Linked DNA regions of Coturnix japonica. The protein of the gene in region 4 interacts with the protein of the main gene of each other region in a biochemical or structural test. Links are inferred from orthologs where the notes say so. Each region holds a gene or a part of one and is shown on either strand. Other genes may lie near its edges.

Region 1 (6,472 bases), on a different chromosome or scaffold from region 4:
CACCCCGTGTGGCTTCCCGCTTCGCCGTTTATGAGCCTATCGCGGCTACCGGAGCTCCGAGCCCTTTAGGGAGGGGGGGGCTGCAAAGATGGCGGCCGGAAGACGATTGTCGTTCCGTTACCCACCCCCCCCTTTAATGGGACACCCCACCCCCGGGTCCCAACTCACTCCGTCGCCCTCCGCCACGCCGGCCGCCGCCCCCCCCCCCCCGCTCAGGGCTGGCAGTGACGTCACCGACAACGCGCCCGGGCGGGCCCGCGGGCGGAGGGGGCGGGGCTTTACCTGTTTTGGAGTGGGCGTGGTCATGGTTCGGCACCCGGCGAGGGGGGCGGGACTTAACGGGATAAGGGCGGGGGGGGGGGGTGCACACGTCTGGCTCCGGGTAGAGGGGGGCACAACCCCTTGCCTTCCCCGCGAGCCCCCACCCCCCAGCACTGCCGCCATAGGCACCCCATGGACGCCCCCCCATGCAGTCCTATACCCTCCCCGTTGACCCCCACGTCCCTATAGCCCCCCCTCTCAGCCCCTATGCCCCCCCCCGCCACCCCCTCTATACACACCGCACTCCTTCCCCTGCCACCCTCTGCCCCCCCAACCCCCCTACTCAGCCCCTATTACAGCTCCTATAGCCACCCCTGCATCCCCCCATCGCCCCCCACTCCCTCTTCTGTCCCTACAGAGTACCTATCACCCCTCCCAGCCACTCCTGTGCCCCCCCCGACCCCAACACAGCCCTCATGGCCAACCCCATCCCTCCATCCAACCCCCATAGCCAACCACACCACCCAACAGCACCGACTGCAATGGGTAAAGTCCTTTATTGGCTAAGGCAATGCTGTGGGAGAGGGCACACATCTCCCCCCCCACAGCAGCCCCACCATCCCTGAGGGTCCATAGCAGGGCAGAGGGGGGGGAACCCTGCTCCCACGGGTTCCTCACCCCCATATTAAGGCCACTTGAAATACAGGGACGGTCCCAGCACTGTGCAAGAAGGGCCCTCCCCAACCCCCACATCGTCCCCAAGATCTGCAGAGGATCCCTGTGGGTTGGGGGGGTCCTGGGGGGCTACAGGAGGGTGCAGTCCAAGTTCTGTTTGTGCCTCTGTCTCCGCTCTGGTGTTGGGCGGCCGCCCTGCTGTGCTCGGCCCTATAGAGAGACAGTGGGGATGGAGATGGGGGGTGGACGGAGCAGAGGGGCACAAGGAAGAGACCCCAATACCTGTGGGGGAGCTGGGGGTGGCCGCTGCTGCTGCTGTTGTTGATATTCCTCCTGCTGCAGCTGCCGTGCCAGCTCCAGGTCACTGAGTGCTGAAGGACCCTGGCCCTGCTGCTGCTGCAGGGATAGCGCCATCATGTAGTCCTGGGCATGGAGGGAAGCACAGAGAGGGGTGGGCACGGTGCTGGGGGTCTCCCATTCCCTGGTGTTGCCGCAGCTCAGCCCCTCACCTGGTCCAGCTGACTCTGCTCCGGCGCAGCCGCCTCTTTGCCCAGCACGTGGCTGAGGTGGAACTGGGTGTCGCAGAAGCAGCTGTCCCCATCCACGTTGTGAAGGCTCTCCCACACCACACATTCCTCCTGCAGGAAGCCCTGGTCCGTCACCAGCAAGTACAGGTGGCCCTGGGGACAGGGAATGGGAAGAGAGACTCAGAACTGTGGGGGGGGGGGGGGGGAACTCACAGCCCCTGCTGCAAGCTGGCTGCCCCAGCCCCATCCATAGGGGCACCCACACTGCCCCAAAGCCTTTGGAGCGAGGAATTCCCCCCAAACTCTCCTCTTTCAGCTCTATCCTCCCCAACGCTCCTCCATCTGTGTCCAGATGTGCCCATGCCATGGATCAGCTCTGGGTCACGGTCGTACCTTGTGCTTTATCATAGTGCTGAAGTGGTTGTTGCGGAAGAAGACGCTCAGCTCCTCCTCCTTCACAGCTGCCGTCAGCTCACACAGCCCGTGGTAAGTCAGCTGGGAGGCCGTGGATTCCAAGAACTGCTCAGCAATCAGCCCTGGGGGTTTGGGGGGGGGAGGGGGGTGATATGAGAGCGGGGCCAGGGCAGCCCTGAACCCCCACAGCACAGCACCCACCTTCGGTCACCAGGTTGGGGTCACCGGAGTGTTTGCACGTGATGATCTTCTCCACCAACTGGTTGTAGCTCAGTTTGCCAACAGCTCGCACCACCTCGGGGCTCTGCAATGGGGGGGGGATGCATAGGAAATAATAAGAATGGGAGAATTCACACCCCAACCCAATGAGCTCAGCACAACTGCGACATCCCTCAGGACCCCCAAATAGAGAACAACCCCCTCCTCCCCCAGCACCCACCTGTGGGTCCACCAGCCAGCCGTGGTACAGGGGGACATTGAGGAGGTCGAAGACGATGCACTCCGGGGTGTACTCAAAGTCAGAAACGCCCGTAAAGCGAACGTTCACATCCAGACCCGTCGAGAGCTTGGGCAGCACCATCATGGTGTCATTGACGTTCTGTGGGGGGGGGAGAGCAGCACCAGGTTGTGCTCAGGATGATGTGCCCACTGCCCAGCATTGTGACCCCCCACCCCCCAGCCTGACCTCAGCACTCACCTGCTGGAAGTTCAGCTGCAGCCCCTCTGACTTCTCCTGGGGTTTGATGGACAGGATGCAGTCCCCTTGGGTGCAGTGCAGAATGGTCACTATGGGGCTCCCAGTGGTGCATGGAGCCCAGCACAGCTCAGCCTCCCCTGTCTGTTCCTGCCCTTCCCAACCAACCCCCATTCCCCTGCAAAAGAAAGGCGCTGGGCCCCACATCCCCCTCCTGCTTTGCACCCAGAGGGAATATCTCAGAAGCTGTGCACAGGGAACGTGGTGGGGGCACAGACCCCATGGATGGAGCAATGGGTGGCAGATGGGAACCACTGCCTCAAACTCAGCCCAGGAGCCCACAGTGCCAGCACTGCTCCCCCCACCAGTCCCACTCACCCAGATGGGCCATCAGCTCATCCGACGTCACCACCTCCTTCTGTGGGGGCAGCTTCACCTGGAGGCACATTGGATGGGGGGGGACAGTCAGCAGAGCCCCCCAACACTGTTAAGCTCCCCAGCTCGAAAGCACAGACCATGCCAGATGAGGCAGCAGGCTGAGATCCCTTCACTCTCCTTTTCCTTCTCGCCATGTTATCTCACAGCCCCCAGCTGCCCCCCTGAATGCTCCTATTAGGGTTCCATGGAGCAAATGGGATTGACGTTCCCCCCCATGTCTTCCCCTGCTGCTCACCTTCCACTGCAAGAAGAGGATGTTCATGATGGCCAGCAGCGGGCAGGGCCCGTTCTCACTCTGGGTGATGATGGGTGTCCGCTCTCCCTTCCACGTGATCCACTTCACACAGTAGAAATCAGGCTCAGGTTCACGGGATGGGGAGTGGGTGCTTTGGGGCTCAGCTGCCGGCTGTGAAGCCCCCCCCGGGGATGCATTGCTCTCACTGGGGGTGGGCAGCTCCTCATGGGCACCTGGGCTTCTGCTCTCCTGGTGCTCAGCAGGATCCTCTGCGGTGCTGGGGTGGGGCACCTCCTCCTCCACTGCTGGTTGCAGCACCAGGCTCTGCCCACTGGCAGATGGAGCATCCCCCCCTTCTTTGGATCTCCCCGTGTCCCGTGGTGGCTGGCAGGGCTCAGGGCTGCTCTCTGGGCATTGGGAATCACCCCCCGTGGTGCTGAGCATCGCCCCCAGCTCAGACTGCAGCTCCATCCTGGCAGCTCAGAGCATCCGTCAGCAGTGCTGTGTGGTCCTGAGGCTCCCCAACACAGCACACAGTTCTGTCCTGCTGCGGTCCCAACCTTAAGATGCCAAGTTCAGATACTCCACAAGAAAACACATATAGAAGTCCAACTCCTTCAGCAGGCACTGCCTGTCACTTCCAAACAACTGAAACAATCCCAAGGAGCAACGAGCTGAGATGCCAACCTGCACAGCAGATCCAAAAGGTCCAAGGGATGCTCGGAGGGCACTGCTGGGCACTGGGATGGCCCCACAGCCACCTCCTGCCCCGCTGCTCACTGTGGATGACAGGCAGTGCTCTCTCAGCTCTGCCTCTGTGTGTGCATCCACATTCCAGCTGATGGCAGCTCCAAGGAGGCCAGCACAGCTGGGGGTGCTCCTTGTGCTCACCACCAGCAATGAGTGAGGGGTGTGAGAGCCACCAGAGCTGAGCTGAGGGCTGAAATGTTCCACTCGTGCCCTTATTCTGCTGCCAGTCCAGCCCCAGAGCCACGGAACGATGGTTGGTTGGACAAAGGTGTCCTTGAAGGCGTTTATCCGCTGCTGTCCTCGTTGGATGATCACCACAGCCAAAGCCTGGAGTTACACAAACAGAACAGAGCCGCTCTGTCGTGGTGCTGGCGCAGTTCAGATCCGTCCACCTGCAGCTCTGCCCATGCTGCTGTTCCTCCCACGGCCTGCCCTGCATGGACCAAAAAGGAAACAAGTTGGATCAAGCAGCATCACCAACAGCGCAGCTCCGCTGAGCCCAGAGGGGCAGCATTACCCAGACTCAGAGCTCCAAGCTGCAATGGGTCTCAATGTGGTTCCACTCAGAGCTCTGGCTGCCCCCTACCCCCATCCATCCCCATTTTCTCCTCATCCATCCCCATTTTCCCCACTGCTGCCTCTCCCCACAGGGCTGGAAGGGCTCTGCTGAGACACACACCTCGGCTGAGTCACCAGCAGATCCCATTACACCTTAATCCTCCTCCTTCCCCCTCCCTCACCCGGCGCTGAGTTGGGCTCTTTGGCAGTGCTGTTGTTTCCAACTCGGAGGGGCACAGGAAGGGCTGCAGTGGATGAATGCAGAGCAAACAGGCGTTGCCTGCCCCATGCAGGGAAGGTGCAGGCTGTGCTGCTGGAGCACAGAGAAAGCAAATGAACAGTGAAGAGGAAAGGCTGAGCATCCCTGCAGTGTGCTCCATGGGGTGCAGTGTGCTCCATGGGGTGCAGAGCAATGTGGAAGTGCTCAGGGCTCCCTCACAGCCCTGCTGCACCCCTCTCTGCAGCAGCAGTGGGGTCAGGGACCCCCTCAATGCAGTGTCTGTGCACATCTGCTCCCACTCCAGGTGGAGCTGAATGGGAAACATCCAAGGAAAGAAGCAGGGGGAGTTTTGGGGAGGTCTGCACCGCTCTGTGCCTCCCCACCCACTGCCACTGGGGATCCTAATGTGAAAACACATCCAAAGATGAGGCAGAATCCTCCAAACTCCACAGAAGCCCAAAGGTTGCGCTGTGAGCTCTGACAGCCACAAGTCCTGCTGCCAAAGGGAGTTGTTCCTTTCCGAGGGGCTGCTGAGCAGCAGCTCCTCACCACATCCCTGCAGTCGCAGCTGGAGACGCTCAACACAATTCACTTCCAAAACGGGGTGAGCGGGCAGCAGGACGCTGCAGCCCACAGCCCTGCCCTCAGCGTGGCTCTGAGTCATCCTCCCACGTCAGCGCGTCCCCAGCTCACCCTCCTGGCACTACACAGCCCTGACAGCAGCCCTTCCCCCCCAGCAGTGGCCCACACCACAAAGGGGCCATCCCCACAAAGCCATCCTCGGGCTGAAGGGCTCTGCAGGTTCAGAAGGTCCTGGCAGCTTTAAATCAAACCAGCTGCAGCCCTGGATACAGGCAGTTCTGAGGGAAGAGGGTGGCTTGGTTGTGTTTGGACTGAAGCAGTGCGGTCAGATCCTGCCCTTCTTTGGGTGTTATGGCAATAAACACATCGAGACCTGGCAGCTTTATAACAAGACCATCCCCTTTGCCCCCCTACAAGGGAGGGGGACCTGAGCCCAAGGAGTGCAGCTTCACAGTGCCCAAAAGCAAGCTGAGAGCTCAGAGCTGCACAGGTTTAAAGCTCAGAGCTGACAGGTTAAAGCTCAGAGCTGCACAGGTTTAAAGCTCAGAGCTGCACAGGTTTAAAGCTCAGAGCTGCACAGGTTTAAAGCTCAGAGCTGCACAGGTTTAAAGCTCAGAGCTGCACAGGTTTGAAGCTCAGAGCTGCACAGGTTTGAAGCCTCAGAGCTGCACAGGTTGAAGCTCAGAGCTGCCACAGGTTAATAAAGCCAAGAGAACTGCATGACAAGAGTTAACAACAGCCGCGAGAGCTGCGCCAGAGCTCATTAAAACTAGCTCACGAGCTGCGCAGGTTTAAAGCCCAGAGCTGCACTTCCCACTGCTGGGATGGGAACTGCAGCCCAGCGTTCTGCTATGGTGTTTCAGAGGTAGGAAGCAGACAACCAGCCCTGTTAATGTGCTCATCCCAAAGAGGAATTCAGGCCTGGATCCAGGGAAGCACTTAAACACACCCCAAACAGCAGCAGAGTGGTCTCAGAGGAGTGCAGTGCTCAAAGAGAAGCATGTGCTGAAGTGCTCTGCTGGATGGAGGCCATGAAGTCATCCCTGTGCTGCTGCCCCACACCTTTGTGCACACAAACACCATCAGAGCATCCTGCAGTGCACAGCGGGGAGGTGAGG
Region 2 (6,279 bases), on a different chromosome or scaffold from region 4:
AAGTTTACAAGAATTTTATATTCTATTTCCTCACTGATATCATCGCCTTCTTTTATACAGTAACTGGGATCATCTAAGTCACCACAGCTATCTGAAATCAGATCAATAACTGCATCCCTCTCGGAAGGATCATTGCGTGAGATAGCCTTCACTTCCTGGTCATTTTCCAAAGAGAACTGCTTTTTAGGGAGACGTTCCTCAGCATCAGAAAATCGTCTTTTACAAGATTGTCTTTCTTTAGATGTCATTGCCTCTAATGGAGGCACAATATTTATGGGAACAAAAGTTGTTTCAGAAGCATCAGAAAACACGTTGTCCATTTGCTTTGTAAGCTCAGATACAGGAGTCCCAGCATTGTTTCTCTCCTCCTCGTTCCTTGTTTTTCCATCTCTGCTTGTAACAGTGACTTGGGAGGTTTTGTCCTGTAAGAACTCTGCTAGGCTTTGGGACCCTGTAAGATCTATTATATCATCCCCTGACTCACAACATTCAGTTTGCATCAGAGTTAGGAGTTCCCTTTTTAGTGAGCTAGGCAAAATCAATAAATCCATTGTATATTTATCTGCATGTGCTTCCACAAATTGCCTAAATTGCTTTTTAATATCTGATTCATATTCACTTGACAAACTTTCATTATTCTCAAAAAGCTTCACAAACTGCTGAACTTGACTCTGAGCCATAACAACTGCTTCTGCACCCCCTTTAATACTAAGCAATCCTATTTCCAGCACGGTTATGTCAGCGCAGGTATCCTGAATGAGACTGTTGAGAAACACATTCTGCGCACCAACAAAAATGCAGTGCATGTCCTTTGGGTAATATTCTTTTTCTTCTAGTTCAGGTTCACAGAGACCCTTAATGTACTCCTAGAAGGAGAAAAAGACAGAGAAGTGAATCTTGTGAAAAGTTGACATTTAAAATCAGTAATGGACAAATACACTAGAACTACAGAACTGCAGGGGCTGGAAGGGATCACCTAGTCCAACCCCCTGCCCAAGCAGGCTTGTTAAACTTCATCTGGATCCTCTCTGCCAACTCTCCAGCCTGTCCAAGCAAAATAAAAATAAAGCCAGGTTTGCACAGTAAATCTGAGAAAGTAAATACTCCCAGTAAATACAAATACAAAACATGTATTTGAGGTGATTTTTAAATAGATCTCATAGAAGGCTATCTTTTAGTTTTTTATATTCCATTGTTTATAACTAAGTTCACTTGAAACTGATAGTAACTGAGTATTTAAGCTGTGGTTCCAAATACACCATATGTTTACTTTATCACTGATAAAAATACCTTAACATCCTGGATTCTCAGAATTCTTAATATCTGAAAGCACTCGAGCTCAAACAAGTAAAGGCACTCCCATTTGTGTCTTAAATTTGAGAAAGGATGGGTAGTTAAAATTATGATATTTGGACCAAACTCAACTTCCAGTAGTTACACAGTAACTCACTCCTCTGGGTTTCAAAAAGGTATTTATGCTACTCACTTAAAAACACAGCTAAACAGACACAGTTTTCAATTACTGTCTCTTATTTTACTAGGCTAAATCATCTAAAATAAATCTTGATCTTCCCCACTGCCTTTAGTTTTAGTGTTCACTTTTAACAAGTCGGAAAGATTTATTTTGTTATCCCCATTTTTTGGCCAGAGAACACACACTTTATCAGAAGCACCCTGTGATAGATTCCTAACAGTGGACTCAAAGGCTGCTTCTGAAAAACTCCCAAAGAGTAACTGCAAAGGTATTTATATTTTTATCTACTTATTGTTTGTTCTTTGCCCTATACTTATCACTGAGTTTAGAAGCTGCCAAAGCACAATACTTTGTTTTGGTCAGGCAGCATAATTATTCCTAAGTCTACTGTACTTCAAACTCTATAATGCAGTGAAACCACTTTCTAAGCTGCAGTCACGATAGTTGCAGAATCTCCAGTATATCAAATTTGACTGTCTTCCCTTAAGCCTTGGAAACTGAAATTCCCTTTTAAATGAAACTGAAAACCATTACAAGGTGATGAAGAATGCAAGGCCACTTTTTATCATCTCTGAGTCATACTGGTGTAAGCACCAGGGCAGGACACCTCAAGACCTTACCAGTACAAACTGCTTCTGCAGTAAAATCAACAGAAAAATGTTTGTGCCTTACCCATCACATGACTGCTGCTGCTAAAGAACACGCTTAAAAAACACGTCAAGAGTAGAGAAGAGAACAGCACTGCAGAATGAATACTGCAAATGATCGATGAATTCAAACAGAAAATGCTGTAATAGAATGTTTTCAAAAGAACAAAAAGATGTGTGATAATTAATACTTTCTAGTGAACAAGCCATCCAGATAAGGTTGAAGAAGGCTTGAAACGTGAGGAAAGAATCTCCTTTTAATAAAGACATACCCTTTTAAGTATGTGGAGTAAGAAGCAATCTCTATATTGTCAGGAAAGAAGCAATGACAGAATTGAAAATTGTTTTCTAGGCTTTTTCTAGGAAAAAAAACAAAACCAAAAAACAACGAAACAGGAAGTTGTGCTGCAGCTGCCCGAGAGGAGAAATATCCCTTATGTCACCTGTAACAGCTTCCAGAATCTCTGAGCCCAACAGAGAATCAAACTGGCTGAGATCCAGAGTCAGTTAATACAACAACCTTAACTTTCATAGTATCTTCCCTACAACTGATGCATGGCACAAGAAAGGAGTCAAGTTCTTCAAAGTGGAATGTGAAGTGAATTAAGTCATAAAGTACACTGTGTACCTGTGTGTTAAGCCCAGCTATCAGAACTTCAGGCTTCAGAGCTACATGTAGCCAATATGGTTCTCACACTGCTGCACTCAGCACACGATACGTACACACACAGCTGACAGGTCCCCCACCAGCACACAGCTCCTACCAATACCCCCATTGTGCCAGCTGTACAAGTGGTGTAACTAACTCTATACAAGTACCCTCACAGCAGCCAGTGCCATCACCAGGGGTGCAGGCAGCACTGATAACATTCTTCTTGTTTTGGAAGAAAGCTCCAGCAAACCAGCAGGTGAAGAAGCCTGGAGCTGCCGAGTTTTTCCTGGAGGAAATAAGAGCTCGGCTGAGCTGTCACTCAGAGCCCGGCCAACAGGCCATGGAATCAGCGACGTGTGTAAACCAACCGCGAAACCTGGCAACACCCAACCGACCCTGCGACTTCTGGAGCTGCAGAACAAGGGAGAGCTGCGTTCTGGTCGTTCTGAGCACCGTGAGGTCGGACTGGAGGACGCTGCGCTTTGCCCCCGGCACGTCCCGCAGCAGCGCTGCCCTTTGCTCTCAGAGTTCAACCACTTCCTACACCGATGCCGGCAGGTCCCGGCCGGGCGGTGGGGCTCAGCCGCGGCCCCTCGCCCCCCCCATCTCTTCTTCTTCCTCCTCCTCGTCCTCCTCCTCCTCCATACCTTGGCGTTCCGCACGGCCTTCCCGCCGCCCTCCAGCTGCACCCAGATCCTGGCTGCGGGCGGCGGCTGTCCCGGCGGCGGTAGTGCGGGCCGCCAATCCCCCTGCGCCTCCAGGACGGCCAGCCGCACCTCGAACAGGCCCTGAATGCGGCCCCGGCTGCCCTCCAGGAAGCGGCGTTTCTCGGCCGGGACGGTGAATTCGTCCAGGCCCGGCCCGGAGCCGCGGGCCGCCCCACGAGCCGCCATCAACGCCAGCCGCTCTGGGCCGCGCTCCGGCCTCTCATCCCGGCGGGCCGCAGGACAACAACACGGGGAATCCCCGGGCTCCCTTCGCTCGGTACGTGCGTCATCAGCCCGCGACGGCGGCACCGCCTCACCCGGAACTGGGCCGTGTCCCCTCCACAACCCGGGCGCCATGTTTTGCCGAGAGCGGTGACGGCTCCTGTTGTTCCGTCAGGCCCCGCCCCGCATTCACTACGTGGAGGACGGTTTGTTGCGGTGCTCGGAGCCCAGCCGGGCTGTAGCGAGGCGGCTAACCTTGTTTGGTTTCCTCTTTGCTTATGGACGTGGCGTGTGGAAGCACGGAGCAAACAGCGCCATGTGCCCCGAGGGAGAGCGGCTGTGTGAGCCCTGCTCAGTGGTCCCAGCGGTGTCGTGCTGCCATCGCGGTGGATTCCGTTCAGAACAAACCCCAAACATGTAGGAAAAGTAAGTTGTGTCCCTTGAGGTTGTAAAGGGAGAAACGTCCCGGCAGTTAGGGAAGCGCTGAGGCTCTACCAGGTTCTTGAATAGCTGCACTTGTCGGTATGGAGCAACTGCTGTAGCAATGAGTGAATATCACAGAATCACAAATGATCCGGGTTGGAAGGGACCTCAAGGATCATGTAGTTCCAACCCCCTGCCTGGCAGGGCCACCAAACATACACCTTTACTAGATCAGGTTGCCCAGGGTCCTGTCCAACCTGGTCTTGAACACCTTTGGGTCTTCCTCGTTTCCTCCCCTGACCACAACTAACACCCTCCAGGTTCTCGCTCTTTGATCCCCCTGGCTTCCATCCATCCCTCTGGTGTTGCTGTGCTGGTGGTTTTTCACAGCTGTTCATTAAATGCATCCTCCAGAGGGAAAGCGAATTCCCTTTAAACCTAAACGTCCCTATTTTCTTCCTTTAATACACAACATTACAGCAGGAGAGGGTAAATACAAGGTATTTTGATAAAGACGTTTATCTATTTCGAAACTTGTTAACTATCTGACATGTTGCAGTCAGTGCCCATCGGAAGGTCACACCAAATCGCACAGCTGTGTACTTTTTGCTCTCTGAATTTACAGCGTTATATCCTGAAGTGCAATGCAACTGTTGCTTGGTTAAATGGGGTGAGTTACACCTGTGCATACAGCGTTTACACATACTCATGCACTCTGAAACAGGATATGGTTCTAATGTCGATGTTATGTTTGAGAAAGGTGATCGATTTTCCTTAATATATATTTCATTTTTCTGAAAAGATTCCCCTTATTTGTAATTAAGCTCTATTTGCTTTCCCAAGTTAAATTACGCTCTGATACACACACTCAGTTGCTGGGCAATTTGAGGAGGTAGTTGGTGCCATCGGCTGTTTGAATGTGGTCACTGCAGCCATTGCTGCGTTGCAGCCTCTGTTAACCAAAAATGAAATTGTAAGCAAGAAACTTTACAGTAAAAATTAAACGACAAACAACTTTGAGGTACAAAATATAATGAAAAGGCTGAAATAAGATGCTTTTTTTTCTTTCTCTCACGTCAGCACTAGTTTTTGGAGCACCCCAGGGTAGCTGAAAATGTACTGGTTTCTAAGTAAAGTGGGTAATGTTTGGTGCTCCTTATATAGATGGGGTATTTTGCCACGCATATGTTATAAAACTTGCACTTACTGCAGAATTTATTGTGATCTGTATAATTCTCTATAATCTGTATTCTGAGGTGATTTTCATACAGTGGTATGAAACGTCTCTCAGGGAGATCATTGCAAGTGAGTAAGGTTCCTTAAGACTGTGTTCCAACGTACTAAGCTTATACAGTGTATGACATTTTAATGTTCAAGATAAACTAGAACCCTGTGATTCAGAAAGTTTCGTTTTGTAGAGCTGACTGCAAGGCAGAGTTCTTAATGAACCCATTGATCAAAGCTTTTGTTTTATTTCTTTGGTTTCCAGAGGAAAACTGTTGGAGAATTATCCAAGGTATAGATTCTGCAACTGTCAGTTTCTATTACTGATTTTGTATCTGTCCCTTAATTTTAGATTAATTACCTTTCTTTGTTCCAAGCTCTTTAAAATTGTAAGCATTTGAATCTTTCAAAAAGGAAGAAAAAGAAAAGTATTGTGATTACACGTGTCAGTTGCTGAATGTTGGTAATAATTCATTCTCTCTTTATGCAGTGGTGTTTGCATTGGTTTGGGTTTTTTTTAAGCTTTTTGAGTGTGTTAGCTCAGGTTTCTTAATTAGTTGCAAAGAGCTGCAGGTGTATTGGCAAAGACCATCATTTAGCCTGGGAAATGTTCCAAGAAACAATTTATTTTTTTTTTCTTTAATGTAAATATTTAGCTGTGTTATTATGACTTAATTTAAACACTCCACGCTGTGTGTTTGCTGTGTATTTAAATCCTGGAGTTTCACTTGAATGACTGACAACACAAGTGATAATCTAAGCGTATAATGTTTAATGTGAGAGGGTATTGAACACTACTGAAATACTTGTGGAAACAACGAGCGGGATTTGAATATCACCATCATAGAGGTGTCTGAGGAACACACAGCTCGGCTTCAGCTGATATGCTGCAAATGTGCCTTGCTCAGTTGCCACTTTGAGGCGAAAAAT
Region 3 (6,245 bases), on a different chromosome or scaffold from region 4:
GAGCAGAGACTTGGAGGCTATCTTACAAATCAGAGATACTACTGTAGCTTGTCACAGCCTTCCCAGCATCACCATAAAGCAAGATCACTGGGCTACAACTAATTCCTCAAGAACATTGCTCCAACCTATTATCTCTCATGAAAGCCTCCCAGTTAAGAGCCCTTTGGTTTGCACAAGCACCCTCTCGTGGCACAGTTTTCCAAAGACAAGTTTATTTGCGGGTTGAAAGAATGCACTTATCTTTGTTCTCTCCTGTAACTCACAGAGGCCCAGAAATGAGATAAAAAACAGAGGTGACACTCTGAGAACTCTTACCCACCAGAAAGCCTTCATCAAAAGCCGCCTCCAGACACTTCTGCTCACATACACTTACACAGGGTACACAACTATCAGCTGAAGGACTCTGACTAAACAAGGAACAATACAATTATTTATCTAGAGACTAATCCAGGCAAGACCGATGGAGCTGAACAGAACTACAGGCATCAATCCTGAGTTTCTGAGTCACAAACCTTCATCAACTCCAACACAAAGCTGTCTTTTCTAACCAGATCTCAAGGAACAGACTCAAGTGAAGTGGTTTTGTTGGCACAACAGGAACAAGCAATCTTACTTCCTGAAACAGAAGGCAGAGAAACATCAAATAGATGGATTTCATATTAAAGTAAAGAAGAGAGGGAGGGCTACAGAATCAGAGGGGAGCACGGGACATGCTTTGGCGTATACTTGAAATGATGATAGTAATCACGCTACGCTGGCCTGGAGCAATGGGATGCAGCAAAAGGGAAATGGATGATTAAGAAACACACTTCCATTATTTTTTTCAAGGGATGTGGTCAGACCAAGGGAAAGCTTAAGCTCATTTGTGATTTCATTACCATGTCAACATTAAGCTTCAAAACATAACGATGCCTAGCGACGTTTTTGTAGCTTATTAAAATATTCATCAGTGTTTTGTCACATTCAGCAGAACCCAGTGTATGACTAGATACAGGAAAGACGTGTGGAAAAATGATGTCTAAAACGCGGCTAAGACCACACTACTTAAAGTCAAGCCAAAGAGTCGAAAACAAGCAGTAACTCCACAGAGAGGCAAAGGAGGAGGCAACTGTTATGCATTCCTCATTGCTCATCCATTTAGAACGTTGTGAGTTGGAAGGAACCCACAAGGATTGCAGAGTCCAACTCCCGGCTCCGTGGGACCACCTAAAATTCAAACCACATTTTCAAGAGCATCGTCCAAACACTGTTTCAACTACTTCTGTGGGGTTGAACCAGTCTGCAAACCTCCATCAGAATATTAGAACGACACAACACCAGTCTGGAATTCAAGATATTCATCCTTTTGGGGCAAGAGGTCTCACCAGACGAGCACCTCAGTGCTTTATATGAAAAGTTCCTTGCTGCACACTAATTCTCTCATCAAGCCCAGTGAAAGTCAACTAATTAATCATCACGCCACTTCTACCACAGGAACTGCCGCTGTTTACTTCAGGCCAGTAGAATCCATCCGTGATCACAGCTCTGACAATTGCTACTCTGCAACAAAACCACAGAGCCTTTATGCTGGACAAAGTTAAAATGCTGTTGGATCAGCTCCTCTTCATGAATAGGCATTTTATTTACAGTACCATCGTAGATAGCACTTCCATCTGATATTTGCAGCTGTCTATTACCACATTTCAATGGCTAAGGAAAGGAAGGCACATACATGACAAGCCGAGCTCCAGTTCAATAAACCTTCTGATTTTTAGGGTGGTGGCAACAGGGCAGGGAGCTTTGTCCAGCAGCACCTCCAGCCTAAGTGCTGCCATGGAGAGCTATTCCCTATGCCTCACTAACACAATGTGCTGTCAGCTACTGGTAACAAGTACTCAACCACAGCCTCAGTGAAGATTAGATACAGAGATGGAATACTGCAGGGAGGCTCCATTTACTCTTTAGCTTCATCAGTTAAAGTCACCAGAACTTTCAAAGGCAAATTGAGGAAAATTGCAACAAAGCGTTAAACAACATGAAATAAACATCTTGCCAAATGAGTTATTTTGCAGGACACATTCATCAACTACAGTTTCCCGTGTAAGGCTCAAGAATGCCTTTATTAATTATGTGAAGCTTCCAGGAAGTGTTCAGCCAACACTGCAGAAAACATGGATCTAGCTACCGAGATTAAATCCTGTTTGGTGAGCAGGGTCTCACTGCAAGGAAATAAAAAAGGCTGCAATATTTGAAGAACTTCATTTAAATGCTTGAATAAGTTGACGAAGCCTTAACATCCAGCATCTTCTAAGTCCTATTGTACTGAATTGAGAAGTTTTTATAGAGTGATCGAATGGCCTGGGTTGAAAAGGACCACAATGATCATCCAGTTTCAACCCCCCTGCTGTGTGCAGGGTTGCCAGTCACCAGACCAGGCTGCCCAGAGCCACATCCAGCCTGGCCTTGAATGCCTCCAGGGATGGGGCATCCACAGCCTCCTTGGGCAACCTGTTCCAGTGCATCACCACCCTCTGTGTGAAAAACATCCTCCTGATATCTAACCTAAACCTCCCGTCTCAATTTAAAACCATTCCCCCTTGTCCTATCATTATCCACCCTCATATGATGATCCCTTTATCATCCTGGCCATCCTCGCTCCCCAGATCTGTTACTACCCAAAGATAACACACCAATAGGAGGCAGGGGCAGAAGAGAGAAGATGCATTAAGGTGGATGCAGCACAACCGCACAGCAGCACCTGCAATAAAGCTCTTAGGTTGAATAGCTTTAGAAACAAGAGTAAGAGAGGTGTTCTGTTTAGAAAGAGGAAACAACAGGAGTGGAATGGGGTAAAACAGAGCTATATTCGACTCAAAGCAGCTCCAAACTCTTCTCTTCATCCCCAGAAATAAGACCTGCAAATCCTTATAAGCACCAAAGCAAGCAAACACTTCTGCCAGTGCAGAATGCGATACCTCTGAAAAATCTCCTGCAGGGTTTCCCTAGTGAAGGCGTTGCTGTCCTGGAAGACATTGTTGAGGGCATGGAGGGCACACAGCTCCCTGCGCTGCTTCTCGTGGTAAATATGTAGCGGCGGCGGTTGGGGTGGCTCTGGGGACTCCGATTTGGCCTTGTCACCTTTCCATGGCACGCAACTCATCTTCTCACAGGGCGGATGGCGAGCAGGAGGTGAGAAACTCAGCAGGCCGATGTCTCTTCCTCAGAGTCACAGCAGCAGCGCGCAGCCCCTTTACTTTATAGGCGAGGGCCGCTTCCAGCCCGCCAACCCCCCTCTTGTGCTTCAGTTTATTCAGTAATCGCCTCTGACTGCTGGCTTTAACAACCACCTCCTTTCTCCCATACCCCATAAAACGCCACACAGCCCTAACCCACCCCCCCCAAAAAAAAAGAAACAAAAACCCGAATAGAAAGATAACCAAAAGATACGGATCCCGTCAGTCTCAAGGTGCCGGCTGGATGCTCCCACACCGCTCCTTCTCTTCCATCTCCGTTCCGCAGCGCAGGCCGCACGGAGCTGCACCCCGCAGGGCCGGGCTCACAGCTCGGGCCCGCCCCGGGGCACGGAATGGGCCGGGGTCCCTCAGCTGCCCTCCTCCATTGCTGCGGGCAGGGCAGGCTCCGGGATGCCAACGGCTCGAGGAAGGAAGCCGCCTCCTCCCTCCTAGGCCATACAACACGGCTCCGGGCTCCGCGGCGCCCGGCGGACCGCCCCGCACCTCCACCCGAGGGAAACCGCCGTTAGGAGCGGGCAGGGCCCGCACGGAGCCCCGACGAACCGCCGCTGCCCGGCCACGGCCTCCTCACACCAACCGCAGCGGCGCATGCGCCCCCTCCTTCCTTCTCTACTGCGCCCAGGGGGTTTCTGTCAGGAGCCCCACAGACGCTCGGCGCGTTCCATTGGTCGACTCAGCTGTCCATGAAACCGTTCATCTTTTTCATTGGTTGATCCGAGAGAATGCCCGCCCACGTGTCTAACTACCGTGGTGTTCGGTCCCGCCCCACCGCTCAAGCCTTCCTATTCCATTGGATAGCAGGGCTGCTTGTCACGAGGAGCAGCTCTCTCATTGGACAAAAAGTACTCGACACGTCGAGCGGACTGTTGTGTGTGTATATATAGCAAACAAGCCGAGCTGGCAGTGCTGCTCCCATTGGCTCCGCGCTCCCCGGGGGCGTGGCCTCTTCACGGTCCCGCCCACCGCCGCTTTGACTCCGCGCTCCTTGCCGTCCCACCCGCTCTCCCATTGGCTGTCCGTCCTTGGCGGGCGGTGGGCGTGGCCTCCGCGCCTCCCGGGGCGGGGGCGGAGGGGCCGGGGCAGGGAAGATGGCGGCGGCGGAGCGGAGCCGCTCCCCGGCGGGGGGCTCCCCGGTGCCGGCCTGTATGTTCGCCCCGGAGCCCGGCTCTCCGGGCGGCAGGCCTCGCTTGGCGGCGGCCGCCTGCTCCTTGCGCTCTTCTTTCGAGGCGGAGGACGGTGAGGCGCTCAACGGAGAGCCCGAGATCGATCTCACCAGCAAGGTAGGCCCGAGGGTGGGCAGGGGCCGGGCCTTCTGTCACAGGGTCCTGTCCGGCGGGGAGGGGTTGGTACAGATAGCGGGAACCCTGCGTGGGCTCCTCGAGTTCCGTCCCGTTCGGCTGCTCGCGGTAACACTCCGCTCCGAGGGCCCGGCCCCTCTATGGGAGCGAGCAGGGGCTGTAGGAACCTGTGAGGGAACGGCTGAGCGCGGCACTGAACGCTCGGAAGATATCCTGTAAGGAAGCGAAGGATGAGCATCAAAACTTCAGCGTCCGCTGGGCCACCTGTTTGTGTCTGAGCAAGCTGGGCGAGGTGTGGATGCCGGATGCCAGCACCGACCTGTGTACGTGTGTGTGCTTTGTGTTGGATATGACCGGCGTGGAGCAGCGCGCAGGACGTCTCCGAGGGCTGTCACCCATCCTGACAGCTGGGAACCGCCCGCAGCTCTGACCAAGAGGGAGGAAAGCTCTTCTCCTGCTGCTTCCATTGGTGTCAGCAGCCAGCCGTCAGCTCCCAGACACCTGCAGGCAAAGAGGAAATGACAGGTGAGCGTTGTTTTGACCTTTATTACCACTGACTTCTCCACACAGCACTATACACCTGCTGCCCTGCTTTCTCAAAGTGGTGCTGCAATGGCACAGGCTGCACAGAGAGGTGGTGCAGTCACCGTCCCTGGAGGTGTTCCAGAGCCGTGTGGATGTGGCACTGAGGGACGTGGGCAGTGGGCATGGTGGGGATGGGCTGGCGGATGGACCAGGTGATCTTAGAGATCTTTCCCAACACAAATGATTGTACGATCTCTGTCTTGGACGAGTGCTAAGGCTGTGAGCTCTACCCTATCTCCCATTCTCTGTTCTCAAAACAGCAGTCTCCCATATGGTGTGAACACAGGAGCTAACTTGGCCTCTTCCCCACCCCCCATTTCTCTGCTTTCCAGCTGAATTACTTCTCACCACTTCCTGCTTAAAACAGTGATTCCCACTGCAGTTAGTTTGCTGGCTTTCTGTCCCACTCTGACCCAGCTGTTTGCTGTCTGACACACTTCTCTCCCATTCCCCTCCCCAGTGTCTTTGCGGTGAGTTCTGCTCTTCATAGAGAACAGTGCTGGGGGATTTCTTATCAAGCACATGTACTTCATCAGTTGATCAAGCAAACAGTTCCATTCATCAGCACAAATCCATTATCACATTAATTTTAGTAGATGCTTCTTTTTCCTTCAAGACTAGTACACTGCAGTAGTAATTATCTTTTAGGTCAAAAACAAATCTCACAAAGCTATTGTGAAGCAAAATTTTTTAAGTTATTATACATTAATTCTACGCTGACAACAGAACATTAGTAACACTCAAAGTATGTCTGTCTACAGGAAATAGGAAGTAAACTATGATGTTATGGAAGGTGTTGGTGTGAGATTGAAATGTCACAGGGCTGGGTTGTCTTTGCCCTGACTTCTCAGTGGTTCGTGGTAACCTCCCAGCCAAACGTCTGACTGTGTCATACTAGTAGAGCAGCACTGCATGCTGCTTAGTATTTGTTTTGCCTTTAACCTTTATAGTTTGCTCACCTTGTGGGTAGGGGATGTATCTTTCCTTAGGACTGCCTGTGAAGTATTCATACTATAACCTTAGCTTGATCTCAGCAGAAGCTTTACATTGCTGTTCATTGGTTATGGCATCCTTCTTGCTGATGGGCAATGCAGAATGCAGTCTGCTTGCCCCTTGGAATCACCTCATC
Region 4 (4,094 bases):
AAAAACTGCACCAAGGACACTGAGAAGTCACACCTAAGTGAGGTAATGGAACCTCAGCACCACCCATTCTAACACAGTGCAGTGTACAACCCACTCCCACTACCTTAGTCCTACAGCCTTAATGATGGACAGCAGCTTCTGAAGTCCTTACAGGAACACTGCATCCTTTCTGAAAATACAGAATCACGTTAAATTCTAGCAAGATTTAGTGACACAGTACTAGTGCTTAGACTTAAGACTTTAATCCATGTTAGGATTCACCCTCAAATACCTCCACAACCCACATAAAGATGCTTAAACCACCATGGAAGAAAGCCAAAAGGAACGTGTCATTTATATATACTGGGTTTACTAGCTTGAACTGAGACAGACAACAGAACGTAATGTGCAACAGAAAACTTTATTAGCATTTCAACATACAGATCAGCAGTTACTTAAGCTTGCGTTTAATTTAAGACATCAGAAAGACTACAGTGCAAACACAAGTGCTGTGCATCTTGCTCGACAAGACTGCTGACAACAACTAATAGCCACCCCTGAGGCGCAGCACCAGGTGCAGGGTGGACTCCTTCTGGATGTTGTAGTCAGACAGGGTGCGCCCATCTTCCAGCTGCTTGCCAGCAAAGATCAGCCTCTGCTGATCGGGAGGAATGCCTTCTTTGTCTTGGATCTTGGCCTTCACATTTTCAATGGTGTCACTGGGCTCAACCTCAAGGGTGATGGTCTTACCAGTGAGGGTCTTCACAAAGATCTGCATCCCACCCCTGAGGCGCAGCACCAGGTGCAGGGTGGACTCTTTCTGGATGTTGTAGTCAGACAGGGTACGGCCATCTTCGAGCTGCTTGCCAGCGAAGATCAACCTCTGCTGATCGGGAGGAATGCCTTCCTTATCTTGGATCTTAGCCTTCACGTTCTCAATGGTATCGCTGGGCTCAACCTCAAGGGTGATGGTCTTGCCAGTCAGGGTCTTCACAAAGATCTGCATCCCACCCCTGAGGCGCAGCACAAGATGCAGGGTGGACTCCTTCTGGATGTTGTAGTCAGACAGGGTGCGCCCGTCTTCCAGCTGCTTGCCAGCAAAGATCAGCCTCTGCTGATCAGGAGGAATGCCTTCTTTGTCTTGGATCTTGGCCTTCACGTTCTCGATGGTGTCACTGGGCTCAACCTCAAGGGTGATGGTCTTGCCAGTCAGGGTCTTCACAAAGATCTGCATCCCTCCCCTGAGGCGCAGCACAAGATGCAGGGTGGACTCTTTCTGGATGTTGTAGTCAGACAGGGTGCGCCCATCTTCCAGCTGCTTGCCAGCGAAGATCAGCCTCTGCTGATCGGGAGGAATGCCCTCTTTGTCTTGGATCTTGGCCTTCACGTTCTCGATGGTGTCACTGGGTTCAACCTCAAGGGTGATGGTCTTGCCAGTCAGGGTTTTCACGAAGATCTGCATCCCTCCCCTCAGACGCAGCACAAGATGCAGGGTGGACTCCTTCTGGATGTTGTAGTCAGACAGGGTGCGCCCGTCTTCGAGCTGCTTGCCAGCGAAGATCAACCTCTGCTGATCGGGAGGAATGCCTTCTTTATCCTGGATCTTGGCCTTCACATTCTCAATGGTATCGCTGGGCTCAACCTCAAGGGTGATGGTCTTGCCAGTCAAGGTCTTCACAAAGATCTGCATCCCTCCCCTGAGGCGCAGCACCAGGTGCAGAGTGGACTCTTTCTGAATGTTGTAGTCAGACAGGGTGCGCCCGTCTTCCAGCTGCTTGCCAGCAAAGATCAGCCTCTGCTGATCGGGAGGAATGCCTTCCTTGTCTTGGATCTTGGCCTTCACATTCTCGATGGTGTCACTGGGCTCAACCTCAAGGGTGATGGTCTTGCCAGTCAGGGTCTTCACAAAGATCTGCATGTTTACCTGAAAAACATACAGAAATTTTAGCCTTAGCTAAAAAGCACTTTAAGTCCACATACACCTTACAAACGAGAAAAAAAAGAACAACTTACTAATTTGCATTACGTTACATCATTTAGGATTTCAATAAGCTATAACTAACCCTGTTGTTCCTGTTCCCCACCTCTTCCTTGAGGTAGGACCCTATAATTCTGAATGCCCTGTGCTGGCCGAGCCCAGCACCCCCCTTCCTTTAACTCCAGGGCACCCCCCCGTGCTCTCACACTGGCACAACGGCTGCAGCCGCGCTGACTCAGCTCCCGCTTCCGGGCCGCACAGCGCCGCGCTCCGCCATCTTTATAACACCCCACCTTCCTCAGCCACAAGCTTCCCCTGCCCCCCCCCCCCCCTCGCACCGTTCTTCAAGCGCCCTTAGGCCGGATTAGACCGTCCACAACCACCTCCCCTCACAAATACAACCCCAAGCGGACTCACTCCAACCCCTTCTGCCTTGAAAACAAAAAACCACCGTCCCTTCTCTCCCCCCCCTCAGCGCTCCCCCCACACAACTCACGTCTCCGGCCCTGAGCTCCGATCAATGCAATCCCGATCCCAGTCGCTGTGTTCTGCGCTGTGACGCAGCGCCGCCCCTATTTATGCTCCTTGCGCCGCACAGTCCCCGCCCTCAAAGCGCTGACGTATCCCTCCGCCTCTCAAAGTAGTCCCAAACGAACCCCCCCCCGGTACCAGCAATACTCACCTCTCTACCGCTCCAATCCCTCCTCCAGGAGTAATGGGGTCCGTGATGTCCTCGGTAGAGAGAGGAGACCCTTCAAAATCCCAAAAGTTCTGAGGGCGCGGATGGATCTGGAGCTGCGGTGAAACGGCCTAATGAAACGTTCTAATCCCAACGGTGGCAAGATCGGCGCTGATTGGCGCAGCAGTAAGAAAGGTGGCTGCTGATTGGTTGTTAAGGAAAGATCCGTTGTAAAGAAAGCTCTGGAAGATTCCAGCGTTGCAGCGTTCTGATTGGTGCGCGGTGAGGTCAGCGCTGTTGCTAGGGCGGCCCTGCTCTGCGGGGGCAGATTTCGGTGGGGTGGGGGGGTGTGCGCATGCGCAGATCCGTAGAGTGGGGGCAGGGAGAGGCCGGGCAGGCCCCGCGCCCATGGGGACGTTGTGTTTAGGCCGCATCTTTTTGCCTGTTATTTGCTTAGGGAAGGGTCTGACAAGGAGAAAGGGGGCAAAAATACCCCTTAATCACAGCAGGCCCACTGCTGCTTTCAGAACAGGAAGCACTGAACAGGTCACACAGCAGCTTCCTGCTTTGAGCCGACGTGGCGGCATGTTTTGTGTTCATTAAAGCTCATTATACCTTTCAGAACAGCTCTTATATCATAACCAGAGCATGCAGAAAGCAGGAAGGTTTCTCTGCTGTTTCATTTACTGCTCGGTGAACACAGATGAACTTGCTGGTAAATCCTCTGCTTAGGAAGCACGAACGTGTGTGTGAATAGCAGGACTGAACACAGGGCTGTATTTCCCCCAGTTAAAAAGAGAGCTTTCACTTCTTTTAGCAAGGCCTGTGACTGCTCAGCACTTGGTTTACAGTAAAAAGGACATAAATCTTCCCAGCAGTTACTCAGAATGTAGACGGGAAGGGAGGAAAAGAGAAACTGGAAACCTCGGAGATACTATTCAGCTACATAGATTTAGGACTACGTAGATTTAGGACTACGTAGATTTAGGACAAAGGCCTTACTTAAGCAACGCTGTTTCCTTAATACTGCCAACTTTGCTCACTGTTTCCAATAGGCTCTTTTCGTGTACATAGCACCAAAGCAGCAGAGGTTAGAGCCAAGGCAGCTAAACAAGGAGCTCTGAGAGGAAAGCCATGAGAAACTAGCAATAATATTTACAAATGTGAAAGGCCACAGCTGCTAAACTGGATATTAACCACAACGCTAAGCTAAAGTCTGCCCTGGGTGTTTTGGGTTTGCATGAAGGATTTCGGCACTTTCAGAAAATGCCAGAGCCCTCCCTTCAACAAACAAGCAAAAAAACTATTGCCAAATCCTATGAGTAAACTATTTACGAAAGCAGTTGTTTTCTAGTTAAATATATCTAAGTACTTAGCACACATACTGCCCTTCCTCCAGTAGCTCCATGTGAATAAGCAACTGACTGGACTGTGTATAAATAAATGCAAACCTGTAAA

The links. The genes of interacting proteins can lie anywhere in the genome.
Region 1: the proteins of UBC (region 4) and MINDY1 form a complex in vitro, tested with the Homo sapiens proteins (5 studies listed by BioGRID, with this or other methods). The link is inferred for Coturnix japonica from reciprocal best matches to the Homo sapiens genes UBC and MINDY1.
Region 2: the proteins of UBC (region 4) and N4BP1 form a complex in vitro, tested with the Homo sapiens proteins (6 studies listed by BioGRID, with this or other methods). The link is inferred for Coturnix japonica from reciprocal best matches to the Homo sapiens genes UBC and N4BP1.
Region 3: the proteins of UBC (region 4) and JOSD1 form a complex in vitro, tested with the Homo sapiens proteins (4 studies listed by BioGRID, with this or other methods). The link is inferred for Coturnix japonica from reciprocal best matches to the Homo sapiens genes UBC and JOSD1.

Annotation. Positions count from the first base shown.
Region 1 is NC_029540.1:2,196,074-2,202,545, forward strand, and holds MINDY1 (ubiquitin carboxyl-terminal hydrolase MINDY-1), read right to left. Parts: upstream 3,853-6,472; 5' UTR 3,716-3,852; coding exon 3,245-3,715; intron 3,008-3,244; coding exon 2,950-3,007; intron 2,640-2,949; coding exon 2,575-2,639; intron 2,476-2,574; coding exon 2,317-2,475; intron 2,182-2,316; coding exon 2,079-2,181; intron 2,000-2,078; coding exon 1,857-1,999; intron 1,617-1,856; coding exon 1,446-1,616; intron 1,360-1,445; coding exon 1,219-1,359; intron 1,147-1,218; coding exon 1,066-1,146; 3' UTR 800-1,065; downstream 1-799. UniProt on the Homo sapiens protein: Hydrolase that can specifically remove 'Lys-48'-linked conjugated ubiquitin from proteins. Has exodeubiquitinase activity and has a preference for long polyubiquitin chains. May play a regulatory role at the level of protein turnover.
Region 2 is NC_029526.1:6,160,560-6,166,838, reverse strand, and holds the start of N4BP1 (NEDD4-binding protein 1), read right to left. Parts: upstream 3,853-6,279; 5' UTR 3,838-3,852; coding exon 3,421-3,837; intron 867-3,420; coding exon 1-866. UniProt on the Homo sapiens protein: Potent suppressor of cytokine production that acts as a regulator of innate immune signaling and inflammation.
Region 3 is NC_029516.1:46,388,368-46,394,612, reverse strand, and holds the start of JOSD1 (josephin-1), read right to left. Parts: upstream 3,853-6,245; 5' UTR 3,140-3,852; coding exon 2,955-3,139; intron 1-2,954. Other genes in the region: GTPBP1 (GTP-binding protein 1), read left to right, coding at 4,322-4,513.
Region 4 is NC_029534.1:5,348,137-5,352,230, reverse strand, and holds UBC (polyubiquitin-C), read right to left. Parts: upstream 2,801-4,094; 5' UTR 2,640-2,800; intron 2,579-2,639; exon of another isoform or gene 2,454-2,578; intron 1,904-2,453; 5' UTR 1,898-1,903; coding exon 524-1,897; 3' UTR 382-523; downstream 1-381.